Linked DNA regions of Lonchura striata. The protein of the gene in region 1 interacts with the protein of each later gene in a pairwise test. Links are inferred from orthologs where the notes say so. Each region holds a gene or a part of one and is shown on either strand. Other genes may lie near its edges.

What was found.
Region 2: the proteins of ANXA11 (region 1) and PDCD6 interact in binary tests that used the Homo sapiens proteins (3 or more experiments, as listed by UniProt). The link is inferred for Lonchura striata from reciprocal best matches to the Homo sapiens genes ANXA11 and PDCD6.

Annotation. Positions count from the first base shown.
Region 1 is NC_134609.1:8,708,610-8,718,495, reverse strand, and holds the start of ANXA11 (annexin A11), read left to right. Parts: upstream 1-5,837; 5' UTR 5,838-5,915; intron 5,916-9,886. UniProt on the Homo sapiens protein: Binds specifically to calcyclin in a calcium-dependent manner. Required for midbody formation and completion of the terminal phase of cytokinesis.
Region 2 is NC_134603.1:61,257,726-61,268,094, reverse strand, and holds the start of PDCD6 (programmed cell death protein 6), read left to right. Parts: upstream 1-6,186; 5' UTR 6,187-6,239; coding exon 6,240-6,322; intron 6,323-9,221; coding exon 9,222-9,283; intron 9,284-10,369. Other genes in the region: EXOC3 (exocyst complex component 3), read left to right, coding at 22-144, 2,455-2,616, 3,786-3,913, 4,381-4,552. UniProt on the Homo sapiens protein: Calcium sensor that plays a key role in processes such as endoplasmic reticulum (ER)-Golgi vesicular transport, endosomal biogenesis or membrane repair.

The DNA.
Region 1 (9,886 bases):
TTCAGTTCTAGTAAATAGGACAGTAAAGGTAAAAAGCTGCAGGTTCATTACCTGGTGGGAGGAGCTAAAAGGTGTCAAAGCCAGAATCAAAGCTAAATGTAGCTTTGTGAGTGACTCTAAATCCCACCTTTTTCTATTAGGAGTACAACAGAAGCATTGCTGTTAGCCAGAAGTGTGAATAGTTACATCAGAGGGAAAGGAATATAAGAATTGAGATCTTTCCCAAATCCTTTCTCAAACTTTATGGTGTAATGGGCACACCTGCTCTGAGTGAGTGGTACACCATTTGTTGGCATCACCAACAAATAGGCTTGGCTAAAGCCAACCCTGCTGTGAAAACCTTGTGCAAAATTATGCTAAGCAGTACCTCTTCACCTAAAGAATTTGGGTCTTACTGGGAGTTAATAGGACCAGCCTAAACTGAGACCAAACATATCTCAAACTTCTATGGCTGCCATCAGAGAGGAGTTTGACTACAAACCAATCACTTTCCACTACAGGTATCTGCAGTCCCAGAGCCTGAGCTCTCCTGCATGGCAGTGACCCCTTGAGCAGGAGTGCCTCCCAAGGCTACGCCTCAAGACCAAGAGATCACTTGCCTGGCATCTGGAATCTACAGCAAGGTCAGTAACACTTTATGTTAAATTTAAAGCATACTCTACACAAGCTAGCTTAATTATTAGAAGTGTGGTAAGTGGTAGAGCATTTGACCACCTTGTTGTCATTGTTTAGTAACTGTTTAATCATCATCGTTAAATCACTCTTTAATGAAACTTTCTGGTTAACCCTACAATAATGACTTCTTTCAATAGCTTGAAAACTCTTTGATACTGCTGAATGCCTGAGTTGCTTTGCTCTCTGCTTCCTGGAAGAGAAAACAATAGGTAGGTATTTGTCCTTACATCATATTAAGTTCCACCCAGAAACTTTGTGGGGCTGGAACGTCATTTACAATAATGACACAATCAGCTCAGATTGGTATTACAAAAGTATTACAAATTGCCACAGCTGACACATTGGGATGAATGGCTCATCCAGAATGCATTCAGATGGGATTCCCAGTCAACCAACTGAATTGCATTCAGCAGCACTTAAAAATACTAGCAGATATTTATCTCTTTCCCCATACTGGGAGCTTAAACTCTGCAGGTGTAGGTGAAGTGTGTGCATGCCAGGGCCAGCTCAGTCTGTTTCTGTGAGTTCCTTTTCCTGTTGGTTAACTCTGTTAACTTAGAATTAAATGCTGATTGGAGTTCAGGATGCAATTTTACACAAGGCACAATGCAAAGCAGAAAATCTAAACAAATGGTAGAAAATATCATCTGTAAAGGCTGTGAACTTGTGACTTCTATGAGTGTATGTGGCAAAGTGTCAGCCCACCAAAGTCAGCCAGGCTATGCCCACCAAGCAGGAAAATACAGAGCTATCCAATTGTAACGCTTCAAGAGTTTAATGAGAAGTTTCTGTTAATACAAAATGGAAACTAAAGCACTTCCATCTGTTATTCCTTGATGAAAATGTTTATTTCAAGGCTATATGTGAAGGGTAATGGTTTACATACAAATGCAGGCTCCAATTTGCTCTTAACTTAATTTGAATGCTTTTAGTAACAATGGAAAATGCTCAGATTGACAGCCTCACAGATCAAAGCTCACAGTATGATGGTTTGGGGGGCAATGCAAGATGCATGCAATAAATTTAATTCATGAAAATTTTTATGTGACAGACCTACCTAGGTCTAAGGCAGATAGTTTGATAACAGAGTTTGTACAGTCCATCACAAGTTCTGGCCCAGTTACGAAATGGCTGTAGTGTTGCATTCCTCAGCATCCAGCAAGTCGAGCCATAGGCGGTGTTACCTTTATTCCAGACTAGTGGCAGAGCAGACATTAAACATTGCAGCCTCCTATTGCAACAAAAATGCACTGAGGAAACAAAGCTGAAGTGCAGAGGTCATTTCAGCTAAGCCTGCCTCCGAGCAATAGATTTTAAGCAGTAAAATTTTTTCAGGAGTGTAACACAGATTGAGGATAATGCTGTTACCATCAATGCTTGTTATCTTCAAGTCTAACACGCTGGCATATACAAAGAACCTGTGGAGGAACAAGCAGGGGAGGCAAATCCAAACACGTGATACTGTCTTGCAGGGATCTGGTTTAACTGAAGGCCTAGTTATGAAGAAGGAAAACAGGTGCATAGAAGAGTCGCAAGCTGATGGAGTTAAAAACTATGTGCAAAAACATGTGTAAAATCTACAGAATGCTCAGGAGCAGTAAAAAAGCAAGGAGGGATGATAAATGTCTTTTGTGGCTAAAGCAGAGTGAAAGGATTCAGGCAAATGTCTTTCTAAAATCTCTATCAACCAATAGAAGTGTAAAAAAGTGACTACAACCCAGCATGATTGTGAGAGAACACCCTTTCTCATAAGAGAGTGAGTTGACAAATGATGTATATCAGTTCCTTAGGGCTCAAAATGAATGTAGGCTGTATGTATGCACACCTTCAGGGGTCTGAACCTCATCATGTTCATGAAGGAAACCTCTGGGGTAACTGGACCATTTGGGTTCCAGGCTAGACCTCCCAAAAATGTATCTCACTCTGTCTGGTACTCATGGGTCCTAGACTGTCTGAAAGGCTGTGTTATAATACTTGGAGGTTTTATTTTATGCTTTGTTTAGTATTTTCTGCTGGCTTTTACTGTGAAAACACTTGAGATTTTTCTTTTTGAGTTCTCAACAATGGAATATTTTACTGATAGAAATGAAATGCTGTAAAATGAATATGGAAAAATGAAGGACAAAGTACCTATGAAATCATGTGGATGTTTTGTTGTACTAGTTTCCACCACTCAGTTCTGGTCTGTGTGTTATAATGGCACAAATCCACTTGGAAAACTGCAAGGCTGGAGCACATGAGCTTGGAAGGGTCACTAGGAAAATGTGTTGCTTGCAGGAAATGCTGCTGTGATTTTTGTGGGTTCTCCCACAAAGGCTTCTCTCTTTCAATGGGTACTGGTTCAGATTGGCACAATGTCAGAAAGCAGTATGATTATGCTTGAGATGACAGGCGAACTGTCACCTATCCCAACACCCAGGATTCTAGGCCTTGTTTCTGCTTCATTTCTGACTGTGGCATCACTCTCTGTATGAATTTGGTTTGAAATGCCAATACAGACTGACAGGTTTGTTTTTTTTATATGAGTAAAAGTAAACCTTTGTTCAATTGCACAGCATGTGGTGCTTTGGAGTTCTGTCCTGGTTAAATACCAGCATAAATATTAAAACCCAAGGTGTGGATAAATAAAAAGATTTTAAAACTCCTAGAACTTTAGGTAGATGCTGACAAGTACATGTGCTGTCTGTAAGTACATGTGCTGCCTGTAGCAGTTTTTGCAGGAAAAAGGTTTTTCTCCAGCCACAGGTCACAAAAACCATGGGCTCAGAGGTTATCATTCCTGTGGAAAAAATTCCAGAAATAAAGTATGTCTCAGTCCCTGACTGTCTGAAAATGGCAGGTAGTGAGGTCTCCATACAATGATTTCTTTGTGAGAAGAACATTCCACATACTGCCATAGCTAGTCCAGTTTTCTGTTTATGAATGGAGCATCAAAGGTGTGAGACTTCCAGTCACCGAGCCTGGAAAAATAGAGGGATTCATAGAGCTAAGCCAAATCTAGACCTTGGTTAAACCCATGGAGGATTGCAATTGACTTCAAAGTGAGCACAACCTGGTCTGGAATGAATACAGGCTGGTTGCAGCAGTACACACTTCCTCATACACCCCCTCCAGCCTAGGCATTGATACTCAAAGGGCTTTTCTACATGAAAAAATAGCAGTATTAAAGTTGTAGAAATATGAGTTTGGTTTTTTTTCCAAATCCTTCTGGAAGAAGAAATAATGCTTTGTAGAAGCTGCTGTGTCCTCATCTGCTGGGAGCAGCAGCTCCTCTGAATGGCTCCTAACCTGTTTCAGTGGAAGTTACTCTGGTTAACAGAACTCTTGTGTAGAGCTAATGTGGCCCCTTTTGGCTGACAGAGGTGAGAGGAGCTTAGATCCCAAGAGAAGCAATACCAGCAGACTCAGAGGACAAAGATCCCTGGCCTTCTTTCCACCTGAGCTACTCTGGGCACATCTTCATTTCTCCATCTGCCTGCAGAGTGAACATCAGGCTACACTCTGCATCAGAACCTGTGTTGATGTTTAGCTTTGCCTATTAATGAGCAACGTCTTTATCAGTGAAGCTTAAGGTATCTTAAGATAATTTATAATTTGTCCTAAATCACAATAAGCTAACGTGCTGGTTTTGACTGCAATTCAGTTTATCTTCTTCACAGTGACTAGTGGGGGGCTATATTTTGGATTTGTGCTGAAGACTGTGGTGATAATACAGAGATGTTTTTGTTATTGCTGAACAGGGCTTGCACAGAGACTGAGGGTGCACAAAAGTTGGGCAGGGACACAGCTGACCCCAACTGATCCCAAGGGATATTCCAGACCATATGACATTATGCTCAGTCTATGAAAGCAGAGGGTACATTTGGAGTGATGGCATTTATCTTTCCAAGTAACTGTTATGTGTCCTGGTGGTAGCTAACACCTGCCTGCCCATGAGAAGTGGAGAATTAATTCCTTTTTCTTTGCCTGTGTGCATGGCTTTTGCTTTCCTATTAGGCTGTCTTTATCTCAACACACAAGTTTTCTGACTTTTACCTCTTTTGTTCTCTCCCTGATCTTACTGGCCAGGGAGGAAGAGAGGCTGTGTGGGGCTTGGCTGCTGGCTGGGGTTAAAGCACCACAGCTGTTCTTATACTCAGATATAGCTCTTCACCTGTTTTAGACTACTTTAAATGTAGCTGTTTCCCATGAGTGCAGCCTTGCCTCTGCAGTGCCAATTAAAATTTTGGAGAGGGAAAAATGGCAATTTATTTTCTTTAGTTCAGTCACAGCTGTTGTATTACAATGATTGGCCATTGTGGTATGTGAAAGTTGTATGGAGGAGAAAAAGCCCAGGTCCTCCACTGAAAGCTATTGGTGGTTGAACAGGATGCTTTGAGTAGTGTGAACACATCTACCCAGTTCTGGACCCTGTTCACAAAATTCCCAGCTGCAACATCAAGTTCATTCCCCACCCAAGTTGTATAATGCTGTGACTCAGCTAGATAATGCTGTGTTTGCTATTTTTATTAGTGTCTTGGCAAAAGAAATATAATTGGAAAATGCTAGCCCTTTTTATTTTTCGTTTTTATTATCTTGGTTTGTCTCTCTAAATGCTTCCATGTGAGCAACTTCACTCACCTTTAAAGAATGCATGTAGGAAAGAAAAAATGTTTATTGAAGCCTGTAGCTATTACTGCTTGTACTAGAAAAGGCTTCCTCTTGACTTTTTTTGTGAAATTTTACTTAGGGAAAACTGTATTATATACTAAATGGGTGTTTTCTGTACCACCTTGTCTGGAAACCGTGTTTCCTGGTGAGGACAGTCAGGGTGGTTTTGGGTTTAAATCCGATGCTGTGCTGAACGCTTACAAGCTTGACTTGAGCCAGGACTTGGTTTTGCCGTGTGCAGGCCAGCCGGTCCCTCAGGCGCCGCTGTGCTCTCGGGGAATGCCCAGGCTGCCCCGCGACGGGCGGCGTTACCTCTCTTAGAGAGCTGTGTTTTCAATACAATGGGCCTTTCGCTGAAGCCGGCCCGCGGTCAGACCTGCTGCGGGCTCCCCGGGGCCAGCGCGGGCTGTCCGGCCGGGACAGCGCAGGCTCCGCGCCGGCCGGGCCGGCCCTCCTCGCCGCGCGGCGGGGCGGGCCGGGCCGGGCCGGGCGAGCCGGGCGGGCGGCTCCGCCCCTGCCGCTCCGGGCCCGCCCGCAGCGCCGCCAGCACCGGCACGGGCGGTGGGAGCGGCGGCTCCGCGGGACCTGCGGTAGGCGCGACCTCGGGCCGGGGCGAGGGGCCAGGGCCCCGGTGCGGCGGGGCCGTGGGCCGGGTCCCCGCGGGGCCGGGATCCCGGGCGGCAGGAGCCCGCGGGGTGACAGCGGCGGCTCAAGGGCTGCCCGGGACCCGGGGAGGTCGGGGCTTGCGGCAGCTCCGCCGCCGGCAGGGAGCGACGCCCGTTCCCTGGGGAAACGTGGATTCAGGGGAGAGGGCATGCTCTGCTGTTGTAGTCGCAGTTCGGTCCTTTGGCCGAGTCCGTAGTTTATCTTGACTTTATGATTTGATGTGTACAGTTGTCAGGAGGAAGCAGCCTAAGATGGTAGGCTGGCCATTACGCAGTGCTTTTGCCTTTTTTTTTTTTTTTTTTTTTTTTTTTTTAATCCAGAAGGCCCCTTTCTCTAAACTGCACTTATTACACTCTATCTTTTCTTATACCATATGTATTTCGAATGTCTTTAAGACACTTAAGTGTCTTTAAGTGTCTTCAAGTCACTTTAGTTGTCTTAAAAGGAAACTCTTCAAACTCTTGCTATGCTGCAGCTATATGTGTGACAGAGCACAGCACAAATATCTCCCTATTCAGAAAAGCAATTCCTTCTTGTCCCCATTCTGTTTCTGGGCAGTAAGGACGTACTTCTCTGGAATATGTTTTAATTTTTAAAGATATTTACAGTAGTTCCTGGAAGCTTCTTCCTGTTAAGGAGGAACTGTCGAGAAATAACGTTCTGAAGGGAGTGGCAGAGGCATGGAAGGCATCTCAGCCTGGAACGGGGACAGGAGGCTGGGGAGCGGAGAAAGCAGACTGGCGAGGGAGGGGAGAAGTGCTGGTGCAGTGTGTTTTGATGAAGGAGCTGATTATGAGGGTTATGCACATGAAAACCCAGCTGCTATCAGAGGCGGGAGGTTCATTCCCTGATACCTCCCCCAGCATATAGTTATTTTCCGTGGAGTGAGTCAGTGTTTTACTAGATCACCCATGGTAACATCAGAAACAGCACAAAAGCAGTGCAAGTATATGGTTGCTGTAAAGCCTGAGTGTATGAACACTTTCCCCATAGCTTGGCTATTTTTATAATTTCCTGTGTTTTGGGTTGCTGTAAGAGTCATGTGGACCACTCTCCTCCCACTGATGCAGCAGATAACTTGAATTGAGCATTGCTTACATGTTTGCCTGTAGCCCTGTCCCCACTGCATTTCTGCTGAGTGCCTAATTATTTTATGTCAACAATATTTATGATATTTTTGGTTTTTCTCTTGCTGGACCTTAGTATAAGATCAGAGGCCAAAATGTCTGTCTGTACTTAAAATTCCTGGAGTAGCCATCACATTCGTTCATATGATTTGTCACTTCTTTAGCTTATTATTTGTAGTCCCCAGAAGTTTAGAATTGTTAGACTGAAAACTCCATGAAATGTCAGAAGTCACTAAAAGGTACAACAAAACCAGCAGTGGGATGGAGCTATTTCATGGGGGTGTTTATGTAGTCAGAATTGTGAAGACATAGTGTTAGATAACAACTTAAAATACATAACCTGATCTGCTATATAAAAAAAAAAATCAAGCCAAGAAGTCTGTCTGATTTGAAGGTTACAGGAGGTGGTGTTTTCTAGACCTCTAACAAATTTTGGAAGATAGAGCTTCCATAGGGTCTGTTCAATAGCACTGCACTAATCAAAACCAAGATAGAGCTGACTTAATTCTACTTCTGTGATAGCAATGGAGGTATTAAAAAAAGAAGCTCTAGTTAAAGCAACAATATAGCAGATAGTTTAATTGTGACTACAGAAATAGTAGGGCTTTTGAACAAACTGAAAGTTTCATTTATTTTTAGCCAAGCCTCTATATAATAATTTGTAGAAACTTCTCTGTCAGCTTCAAATTGTGGTTGGAGGTTTCTGTTACAATAAATATTCAACTGAGTAATGGCACCAATATGATTTTTGTTTATTGTTATTTTTGTTTACTACCTTGACCCATATTTCTTATTGGATATATTTTTAAAGTGTTTTATGTAAACTGTTGGAAATAAGGACAGGGACTTGTCAGCTGTATGCAGTGTGTTTTGTTTTGAGTTTCTTTTGAAGGTAGCAAAACACTTTTTAAAGGAAAGAAAAGGCTGCACATTTACCCCTCAGCAAACAGCACTTTCACCTGTTTGAAACTTGAGTTGTCCCTTTATTTTTGCCAGTTTATTTGAAAGTGACTGTGGTTGGTATAAATGCTGAATTTCCTTCCCAGGTCCCCAAGATGGGAACAATGTAAAGTAGATATGCAAACCTAAGAACAGCAATAGGTTTTTACTGTGTATTGCTTCTATTGTTGCTCTGTGTTTGTTCCAGATTTTATCAGCACTCACTAGATAAGCTTGATAAGAAGTTAGATCCTGAATGGGGTAACCTGGAATCAGTTACAGGACAGAGCTGGGACTCAGTGGTGTCCTTCTAAGAGACAATTCTGACACTTTCTTGTGTGATTCTTGCTTGGCAGCTAGTTTTTTGTTTGTATGTGTGCAACTATATCCATAATGTTCAGCTGTCACAGATGCTGGTTGTGGACCAGTGCCAGTTGTTAGATTTTGGTAACTGAATAAAACAAACACAGCCCCCACAGCCACTCCCTGGCTGTTCCCTGTGCAGTGCCTGTCTCTGTGACGTCTGGTTAGTAGCAATGATCTTGTCTGAGACCTCCAAAGAAAGGGAAACAAGTTCTTCCCAGGTGTGGCCTCCTTTTTTCCCTTATGTGCTGTCTGTTTGAGAGAGAATATGCTGTCTTACTTGGTAAGGAAGGTTAAAAGTCTTTTGGAATTATTGTTTTGGTTGTGTTTGGTTTTTTTTTTCTTTTACCACAAAGTGTGAGTGATAAAGGTTTTTTTGAGGGCATTGGGAAAGTGTTCACCAGTAGGAGAGGTGGGCTTCCAATTCAGGCTTTTAGATCTTAACTTCTGGTGATCTTAAGAACTGTCAAATATATCAGTTCCATATTAAAGATCCAGATGAGTTTTAATGCTTCTGAAGGTCTCTTGTTTGTGCTAAACTTTACTGTAGCCATATAGTCAATATGTATGTGAAGTGATAATTGCTATGATTAATTCCTGCACCCCCGAAGACCTCTGGCTTGGCTAGAAAAACTTGTCTGATTTTGGACTTTGGCCTAGTAAGTTGCTCTGAATTAAGTGCTTAAGTTGCCTGAAGCAGACAGGGTAACTGTTTCTGTTATTATTGCTAGAGGTAACAATTTTAAGCATGGGAATTTGCACTTATTCAGTAAACAGTGTACTTAACTATAGTCAAAATAACTGGTTGTTGCCTGTGCTTGGTAGTGTTTTAAAAATACTTGGTTTTCTATTAGCTAGGAGAATAAATGCATCTTACAAATACCAGGATTTAGGGGAAAAATACTTCTCGTAGTAAGCTTTAAGGATTAGACCTTGCTGATCTCAAGTGCAGTCTAGATTTGAAGGCTACAGTCTTGCTTTCTTTTCACATTCTTTGTTTATGGTTGCTTTGAAATACCTATTTTACTATTCTAAGTTGGTTCTTTAATAATTCTGTTCCTGGAAAGAATTAATCAACTGAGAATGAATAATTCCTTATAGTCTGGAACGAATGAAGGTTTGTCCATTTTGCTCACGGAGGGGTAGTAACCATCCCAGCGTTGCTGGACAGGTTAATGTGTTCAGCAAATGTGTCCAGAAAGTGCGAAAGTCATCCCTGTTAAGAAAATATTGATGTCTTTGTACCTCTGGTTGATGTGGGGAGTCCCCGGGCTGTCAGCAGAGAGGCTTTGTCGCAGTGTCAGGTTTGTCCATGCAGCTGCTGCCAGTGTCCCTGACTTTGGGAGCTGTCACTTGAGCAGCCTGGTGTCAGCCTGGCGCCTCTGCAGCCCCAACAGCTGCAGACCTGATGGAAGCCTTTTGTTGTCCCTTTCTTCCTGTTGCCTCTGCCTTTGCAGTGGGGCCAC
Region 2 (10,369 bases), on another chromosome or scaffold:
CTGATCTTGTCACCTTCTCAGCCCCATCTGAATGAGCTGATGACAAAGAAGTGGCTGATGGGATCTAATGCAGTGGGGACTATCTGTGTCACTGTAGAGGATTATTTCAATGACTTTGCAAAAATTAAAAAGCCTTACAAAAAGGTAGGTGCAACATAGTGATACTTTGCTAATGTACTCTGAGCATCATGGTGATTTGGAATTTCTGAACACCACATGGAATTCAAAACTGAAATGCAGAAATTGGAATTGATTCATTACTGGAAAGGAAAAAATGTTCATCATCATATTGCAGAAATCTGAATCTACTTTTTTTTTTTTTTTTTTTTTTTGTTCACAGGCATGTAATATTGTCAAAGACAGATCTAAGTTGTAGTATTTAGTCCAAGAAACTTCTTGGCATGTTACTAGATATTTTTACCAGTTTGTATTTTTTGCCACTTCTCAGAAGTTTGTAGTCTGATAAAATTAGCTCTTCTGAAACTAGTTTTCCTGGTCTGTAATGACTTTTTTTGCAAATGCACATCAAGTAATTCCTAGTTTTAATATATACAATGAAGCATAGTGAATTTGGTGTGCCATAAGAGTTAACAAATGCATATTTATGTTTAAAGTTCTCTTACAACGGTAAATGTGCTAGGTTAGGATTTTTTTTCCTCTGGTCTGTCAAAGGATATCTGAATTTCTCTATTTATAGAAACAAGTACAATAATGTGGAAGATTAAAGTCAGGTTCATGTAATAAGACAGGATTAAATGGTTGTCTAACATTTAGGAACCTAATAGAAGCCAGCAAGATCTGTATTTAGGTGAGGTCTTTGAAGAAGCTCTTAGAAGGGCTTAAAAGACAGTCTCCAAATCATACACTTATTCTTTCTTACCTTAATTCTCAAAGTGATAAAGGGAACCGCTCCGAGTTTCTCCTATGACCTTTTAACCTTCAGTATTTGCAGATCCTAGAGGCCTTATTATGTAAGTAAATGTATTTTCGGTCCAGAAAAAGTGCACAAAATGAGTTAGGTCAGTCTCAGAATTAGTCTATATCCATGGAACAGCTTTCTTTTCCAGATTTAGTTTATTACTGTGAGGTACGAGTGCTTGGCATGGCTTTTGAGGTGTTAATACCCATCTCTGTAATCACATATGTTTCAATATGTAGCATTTATTGCCACCTTGTGGGGAAGAAGCTTACAAGCAGGTTGTTTGGCATTCAACATACCCACTTTTCCACTGTCTCCCAGCACAAAAAAAATCTCCCATGAAAGATGCCATATGTTCTAGCACGGGCTGGACCATGCTTTTGTTTCCCCGATTTGTGATGGGATTTTTCCAGGTTTTAAAATATTCTTGGATAACCCTGTTTTGAAAGTACAGTTTTTAAAAGCCACATGATCAGAGCACCTCCAAGAAGACTGTAGTCCAATGAGAAGGACAGAGTTCTGAAACAGAGGAAATTGGCATTTAAGGCATTCTGCTTTACTGTTTTCCTTGTGTGTAAATTGAATGCTCTACCATTCCCTGTTGGCTCTTCTGGAGTGTTCTAGTTGTAGTGGAGCTGTTCTTCAGTTCCTCTCCAGCCAGATGGGCTATACATGTCAGCCCCCCACAGTCTGTTCTGTGGAGTTCATTTTTCTTTGTGTAACTGGCATCAATTCCACCAACACAAGAGAAGCTGTCCCTGAGCAACCACCTAACTCTGGTATTTCTGCAGACTCTTGAGAGCAGAACTTAAAATTGTATTTTTGACTTCCAGTACTTTGCAATCTGTTTTCTCCCTTTTTTTCTTCCTTTTTCTCTCTTTGCTGAAACCTTTTATTCAAATTTTGACTGAAGAATATATTTCAAGAACAACTTGAAACTAAAGTTTGATCATACTGCTAATAAAACATAATAAATAGTTTGTGACTACCTCTTACACCAGCTTTTTCTTAATCATAAGTAACTTTGCCACCATGTTTACGAGGAAGAAAAAACACCTGAGGACTTGTCGGATTTAAGAACTCTGGTTACATTTTTGTTGAAAAATAAGCATGTGAAGGTTTTGGAGTTTTAGTTTTGTTCTTTATTTCCAAATCTCAGTATTACTCTTGCACAAATACCATGATACTCATACCATCCAGGTACCAGTAGATATTTCCCATAAAAAAGATAAGTGCAGAACAGCAAATCAGTCAAGGAAGATCTGAGAAAGGGATTGTTCTTTGATGCTCCTCAAAAAACTCAGACATGTTATTAAAGATATGTTGGGTTTGTTGCTTCTTGTGATTGGCTCATTGTTAGGGAAGGAGAGATTTTCATTTCTGTGAGAACAGTGAAAATCTAAAACTCCTCAATCTGTGTTAGCAAAAATTGTATACTGCTGTTTAAGTGCAAATACACAGTTCATAGCTTAAAAATAATGGCTACTTCTGCAGGTATCACTGGCATAACCCACCAGCTTTTCCATCTCTTTCAGACAATGACTCTTGAGGCCCATCGGAGAGTAGTTGTGGAATACATCAGAGCAATCATGCTAAAACGTATATCTTTCAAGAATGCAGAAGAGAGAAAAGAAGGTGCAGAAAGAATGATTAAAGAAGCAGAACAGTTCAGATTTTTGTTTAAGAAGCTTGCAGCTGTAAGTATTTGCTTTGGGTAGTGCTGTTATCCTGGTAATTTACAATAACCACGTATGTTTATTGCTTGGGGGAAATGGCTAGAGTTAAATCTCCATGTCTCCAAAATGTTGAGTGACTTGGGAATATCAAAGATGCCACCTGGGGGGCACAGATGCAGATTCTGAAAACTCAGGCCAGCTGCTAAAATTCCTGAGCACCAGTTTCTAGTGCTTTGTGTTTATACAGCTCTCTGCAGCTGAATATTTGAATGGCCTCTGAGAGATAGATACCTGGAATTCATAGTAGTAAGTGAAAGAAAAAAGCAATTAAAAAAAAAAATCTGTCTTTTCTTTTCCTGGCCAGAAGAAAGGCTGATCTGGCATCAAACAGATGCCATTACTTATTACCTAAGGAGCATGCAGTGTGTTAATTTGGATCAATAAGATGAGTATGTTGACCCCATTTAAAGTCCAGTAGAAATAGAAAAGACAAGCTAAAAAAAAGGTATTTGAAAATCAACATACAAGACAGGTGTAAAAGTTTTAACTGCATAAGGAACAGGGATCTTCCAGAAAGCTCTTGGGGGCAACAGATGACCGATTGTAAAAACAATGCGCAGAAAGATAAAAGCCTGAAAAACTGGGATAGTTGATGGAAGAGGTTGTAGAATAAAGGAAACAAACCATACCTGATTGGCAGAACCAGGTGACCTTGAATAAGAATACTGAAATAATCCAGAGTTTAAATAGATACAGATCAATCAACCAGTTGCTGAAAGCTGCTTTGGTGGCCAGATGACTTGAAGGAATGTAACAGAGGGCCAGTTTTGAAGTAATGTTTCAGAAGAGATCTGTCTTTTATGTCAGTTATTCCTAATATTTATGCTCATAATTTCCCAAAGTTGAAGACTGGAATTTATCACCATGTGGATAAATACAACATATTGTTTGTAGGACACTACTTTCTTCACTGATATTCTCAGCATAAGTCTCTGAATGGAAAACAGGGAGAGAAAAGGATTACGGTGACAATTTACAAATACTTGTTTTTTTAAATGTCTGAAAATTCAGCTTTTTGGGAAATTCAAGGGCATTGTCAGACAAAATATTAATTAAAGGATTATTTGTAGGTTTGAGGAGTACTGCTATTGTTTTGGGACATTTTTAATATTTTTTGTTTACTTTTGCAGGGCTCTGGAGAGGACACTGAAGGACTCTGTGACATCATTGAAGCCATTGCCGAGGTTATCAAGCTGACTGATCCTTCACTACTCTATCTGGAAGTTTCAACTTTAGTCAGTAAATACCCAGATATCAGGTAATTCTCTGCCCTCAGATTTAATATATAGAAAGATAACAACATAATTTCCTAGAGGTTTGGGCAAATTCTGAAATTTAAAACAGTCTGTAAATGTGTTCATATTTTTCATATTTTAGAATGTAACCACTTTCTTGTAGTAATTAATAATAAAAAGAAAGTAATGCTAATCTACAATGTACATGAGCTGGACTAGAAGTTACAACTACTTAAGTACTGCAGGGGAATACTAAAAATACTTCAGCTCTGTGTGTTAGGAGGATAAAATAGGTTTTAGAGTCCTAAAAGCAGCCAAAATGGTGCTTTATATTGAGCAGGAAAAGCCAGTTCTGAGTGAGTAGAGATCTCGTTAAGAATAAAAAAGTACCTGAAACTGAGTGAAAGGATTGCCAATTAAGTGCTGTCTTTGACAAAATCTTTCTTGTGCGAAGCCTCCTAATGCCAGTTTTACCCTTTTTATTTGGCAGGGATGACCACATTGCAGCTTTGCTGACAGTGAGAGGTGATGCCAGCAGAGATATGAAGCAGACTATCATTGAAACTTTGGATCAAGGTCCAAGCCAACCAAATCCAAACTACGTGCCAATTTTTAAGGAAATTACAGTTCCTACTCTCACTGTGCCAAAACTTCTGAAGTAATTGACAACTCTGTGTTTGTGTGTCATTACTGCTCTGGGATCAACAGGTTTGAAATATTTGTGGGCAAATTTGGCAGTGCTATTTTGAGTGAAGTTCTGTATACATTGATACTTGCTAGGCATAGTTCTTTCTGAAGACTTGGACGGAAGGAAATGCAAGATACCTGAAAGAAGAATTAAAGGTCATGTTTGAAGAGCAAAGCTTTTAATGGCATGGTTGTTTTTTGTTTTTGGTTTTTTTTTACTGACCTGTTTGTCACAGCTGGTTTTGCTGTCAGCAAATACATTTTTCTTGTGGAATATGTTTGCACAGTGCGCTGCAATGCTATATAAAGATATTTATACCAAGACCTGCAGAGCTGTATTAGTGCTGGATATACTAACATACATCACTTACAATACCTAAGCAGACTGCTTTAGAACTGTCTTTATATGGCACTGCATTCAGCGTTAATGTCAATCCACTTTCACGTTATATTTTGTGTATGTACTTACTTTGGTGTAAAATAGTTTATTGCAGAAAACTTAATTATGAAATCAGTTTGCTGACATAAAGGACTGAATGAAATTGCTACAGTGCAATTTGATTATAGGTTGAATAAATAAATAAAGACATAAGGTACAATTTTTTTTCACTGATTCACTAAAAACAGCACATAAAGCACACCAGTTCAATAAAATGTTAAATCATTCCTATGTTCAGCTATGATTCTTTGCATCCTTGTAGATTTACAGAGCATGTAAATCTTTTTTGTTGTTCTAAGTGTGAATAAAAATTGGATTTCATAGTTTTCTGAAAACACAAGATACTGGGTTTTATTTCTACAGTATTTTCAGATTAAGTATAAAATAGTACTAGACGATTATGGATTCAAAATTCCTTGATGGAGGACACATTTAAGGCATTATCTCTTAGTACCTGACCAGAGCTGTCAGAAGTAAGCATGAGGAAGACGCATACCTACATTGTTTTAATTCAGCTTTCTGGAGTTTGTGTGCCTGACGCCTTTGGCCTGTGGCCACCCAGGCCTTGTGCCATTCCAGCCGTCCCCAGCTCATCAGTACTCTGGAAGCGGTATGTACAGGGCCAGCAGTTTGGATAGAGGATGGATCTGAGATTGTGACTTTCTGCAGGGACAGGGACAGTGTGTCCCGAGATGGTTCAGTAGAGCTTCATCCTGGTATCTCTGTGCTTGAGGGGTTTTAGCACAGGAGGTTCTTAGGGACAGTAAACTCTGCATAGAAGTTGTAGGTGCAGGGAGAGGAATTTGACTGGTTTTCAGAGGGTTGTGTTCAGCCCCCAGTAAAGAATTCAGTTAAAGATCAGTGAGGTGGTGCTAATTTGGCTTGTACTCCAATTCCATCCTCTCCCTGAAATTCTTTCCCGGTGTGCTTTAATCCTCACTTTGTGTGAGGGGATCTGTTGAGCGGGCTTTGTTTCCCTCTGTATCGCTTCTTGAGGCTCCATCCCCTCAGGACAGGCCAGCTGCCCTGAGCGGGGACCCGGGCCCGGGCACGGCTCCCGCCTCCCGCCCGCGCCGGGGGCGGCTCCCGGCGGGGCGGGGCCCGCCCGGGATTCCCCTCCGCGCGGCGGGGCGGGGCGCGCGCCCCCGCCCTGCCGTGACGTCACAGGCGTGTGCGTCAGCGCGGCCGGTGTCGGCGGCGCGCGGGGCGGGCGCGCGGGGGCCATGGCGGCGGGGTACCAGCACCGGCCCGGCGGCGGCGGCGCCGCCCTGCCCGACCCCTCCTTCCTGTGGAACGTCTTCCAGAGGTGAGCCCCGCCGCGGGCAGCGGGCAGCGCGCAGCGGGAGGGGCCGGAAGCGGGTCGGCTGCTGCGGGAGTCCGGCCACCGGCCCGGCGCATCCGGCGCGGGGTTTGGCTGCCGCGGCGCTGGATGCGCTGTGAGCATCGCGGTGGCTTCCCCGTGGGAGGAGCTGTACGAAAGAGCTGGGGAGGAATAAACGTGGCTGTATTTTGTAACGGGGGTAAAGGGAATTGGTGGGAGCGAGACGGTAACCTTGAAAGCGCTGAAGTAATTTTTAACCTGAGGTTGCAGAAAGGATAATTAAGTCCGGAGGATCGGTGTAGCAGTACAGGGAAGGCTTGCTTGTAATAAGGGATCTGATAAATGTTAATGAAAGACTAAAGCTACCAGCCAGAAAAGATAGCTGCACTAGGGGACATTTAGGCTGGATATCGGAAAGAACTTCTCAGCAAGGGTGATTGGACATTGGAATGGGCTGCCCAGGGAGGTGCTGGAGTCGCGGTCCCTGGAGGTGTTTAAGGAGAGACGGGGCGTGGCACTCAGTGCCACGGTCCAGGTGACACGGGGCTGTTGGGTCATAGGTTGGACTTGATGACCTTAGAGGTCTTTTCCAACCGGAAGGATTCTGTGAAGTATTCTCTTGAATTCTCCTGGATCAGAGGGACCTGCAAGGGAGTTAGCAAGCTTGTGCTAAAGAAACACACTGGCAAGATCCTATCAGTAAAGAAGCCAAAGGAGATTTCCCAATTATGTCTTGTTGAGGAAACTCGGGAGGTGCCTACATTGGATCCATTTTTATGGGAGATGACTCAAGACAGATCCTCTGACACAAGCAGCAGCAAGAAGGGGTTTTAAGCAGTAGACAAACAGTACTAAGTTTCTAAAACTGGCTGATCTTTACAGAGTGACTCAGGAATGCAGCAGCTTACCTACCCAGCCTGCTGTAAAACAACTTCCTCTGAGGACTCGGGAGAGGCAGGCATGAAGCCGTTTCTCTTTTTAAAGGGTCCAGAAAGAAACAGATCAACAATCCGACTTCTGCACCAGGAAAATCAGTAAAAAGAATTTTAAATAATGTAGTTAGGAGTTGCATGGCTTTTGTTGAAAATGTTCCTTCTGGCAGACTGCTATATAAATCCTGGACTATGTTTCCTAAGGATTGGATTTGGGTATGGATGGCTAAAATTGGAGCAATTCGTATAATCTGTACACTTTTCAAAAATACTCCCAACACTATCAAAAGGCCCTTGAAGAAATTCAGTAAACGTGGAATGAATGGAAGCATTCTTCAGTGGATGGAAAACTGACTGGAGGGTGTGTGTGTGTGGTCATGCACCACACTGACAGATGGAGCTCTCCTGGGATCTTTATGTAATCAGTTCAGGAGCAGTTGTGGGAAAGAGAGTAGGTTTAGATTGGATGGTGGGAATAAGTTTTGTTTTGTGGGCGTGGTGAGGCACTGGAACAGGTTGCTCAGAGAAGCTGTGGCTGCCCCATCCCTGGAAGTTTTTAAGGCCAGGCTGCATGGAGCTGTGAGCCATCTGGTGTAATGGAACATGTTCCTGCCTACAGCCAAGGATTGGAACTTGAGGATATTTTAGGTCCCTTTCAACCCAAACCATTCTGTGGTTCTATGATTCTGTGAAAAAAGGGTGAATGGTCAGGTGAAGTTTGCTGATTTCTGCAGTGACTGAGGCCTGTGAAAGTTTGCAGGAGCACCTTACAGTCCTGAATGACTGGGCTGTATCAGCCTGTCATGGTCAGATCATGATCCCTGCATGATAGGTGATCCCAATGTGTCAGGTGGAATCCAGAGCAGAAATCTGATGTCCATGAGGAAAACCCATTCTAATTTTCCATAATTTTGTTTATAAAAGGAACATGCTGATAGATGACCCTCAGGAGAAAGATAAGTAGGTCAATGCATTTTAGTGAAAATATCAGCTTAGCACTTGGTAGCAGCTTATAAAAGGTAAAAAATGTTCACAATACTAAGAAGAGAAACAGATTATACAGGGGAATTTGTAATTGAAATCTTTGCAATTTATGCTAGCAATTTTAGTATTGCATGCAGGTTACATAATTCTTGGAGATGGGGAAGGAAGCAATAGAATGAACTGAAAGTGTTTAGAAAAAGACAGTAAGAACTAAAGGAAAAGAAAATCAGCTTCTGTGCATGGAGATCAGCTGAGCGGGACTCTGGTTGGGGTAGTAAATGAGGGGAAATGAAAATTGTCAGTCTAAGGGAACATCCTTGTATGAAATGGAGGGAAGTCTCCACCATTTTCAGGTACCCTGATAGAGAAGGCATGCTCCTTCTTTAATTGGGCAGAAATCACTTAATTTATTAATTTTGGCATAGAACTTGAATCATTAAGACAATGGACTGTGAATGGACTGTGCTTAGTGGAAGCTGGAACCTGCCTGCGCTTTTGCTTCTTTGAACCCCTTTGCAGGGCCCTGCAAACGATTGAACCTTTCAGTACTTTGGTCACATTAGTGACTTAATCTCCATTGCCAACATGTGAGAGAGCCTGGGTGACAAACCTGTTGCACCAGTTTGTGAAACAAATAGCTCACTGCTGTCACATTAGGCATTTCGTGGATTTAACCAGCATGTGTGCTCTGCAGCTCTCTTAAACAGAAATAAATGAAAATACTTCCTTGTGGAGAGCATGCCCAAACTGTTTCGTTGTCAGTGTTTCTGTGCGTCTCTTCACTCGTAAGTAAGTCTTGCAGTTTTCTTTGGAGCTTTTATCATGTTCCAGAGACTTTTCAGGAAAATAATAATCTCATCTGGTGACTAAGAAGCAGAATGTCGAAGTCTTCAGTAAGTGGAACCTGTTAATTTCAGCCATTTAAAACTTACTACCTGGTTTTGTTTTGTTTTGGCTTTTTTCCCCAGAGTTGATAAAGACAGGAGTGGAATAATATCTGATAATGAACTTCAGCAGGCATTATCCAATGGTAAGTCTGTAAATGAGCAGTGAGGTAGTTCATTGTAAGCTTCATGATAAATTTGTTGCAAGAGTGGTTACTTGAGGCTGTGATTCTTTGTATGGAAGGGGGTGGGAAGTGTTCCTGCCACTCAGTAGTTACAATTTCATCTACAGCAAAAGGCTGGAAAGGGAAAAAATGAACAATCCTTGTGATTTTTTGTTTGTTTGTTCTAAACTGATTGTAACTGTTACTGGTCTGTATTTTGAGGAATGAGGGCGTGCACATCCCTTTATTTTTTTCCCGGCTCTACTTCCTAGAAATCATAACCAGTGATTCATATATTCCTTGCTTATCACTCCTGAACCTTTTGTTTTTTTAATGAGAATCAGTGTATAACTTGGAAAAAACTGTTTACAACCAGCCTTTTTAATTGCACATAATTTATTTTTCATACAATATGGTGCAGGAAATAAAGTATGTCTGGGGTTTTTCTTAACAGAATAGAAAGATGCACTCTAGATCTTGTATTAGAACTTTCTAGTAGTCAGTTCCTTGTTGTAATATTCAAAGAAACTAGGGTACTGTCAAATAACTCATGGAAACAAAAAATGAATCATTTTTCCAGTAGCCTATTTTTACTTTCCTCCCGTGACTCAGGGTAGATAGGGTTCTACTCTGTGGGGTTTTTTTTCTGTTTGGAAATCTGAAAAAGGGCATATTCAGTCTGTTTGTCCACCTTTGAGTCCATATCAAGTTCACTTTCTCCCAAAGTTTATTCCTTTATCCCTCCTGTGCTTTGTGACTGAGAAGGGCTTAAATTGATGTTGTAAGCTGCAGCACACAATGGTTGAAGGCCCAATTTTGTCAGTAATGCCTGACTTGAAATAAATGTGTACGGTTCTATTCAGTAAAACTGCAGTCTTGTAACTGAACTGGATGTACTGGAATATTTGTTTAATAATGTATCTGATAAATTAAAAGCAATGTTGCAGCTGCCAGACCTGATCCATAATTTAAATTTTGAATAAAATCTTTAGCAAAAACTAAGTTAAGTCACAGTTTCATTTAGCACAGCACTGAATAAAATCATCAGTGCTGTTTATTCAGTGCTGT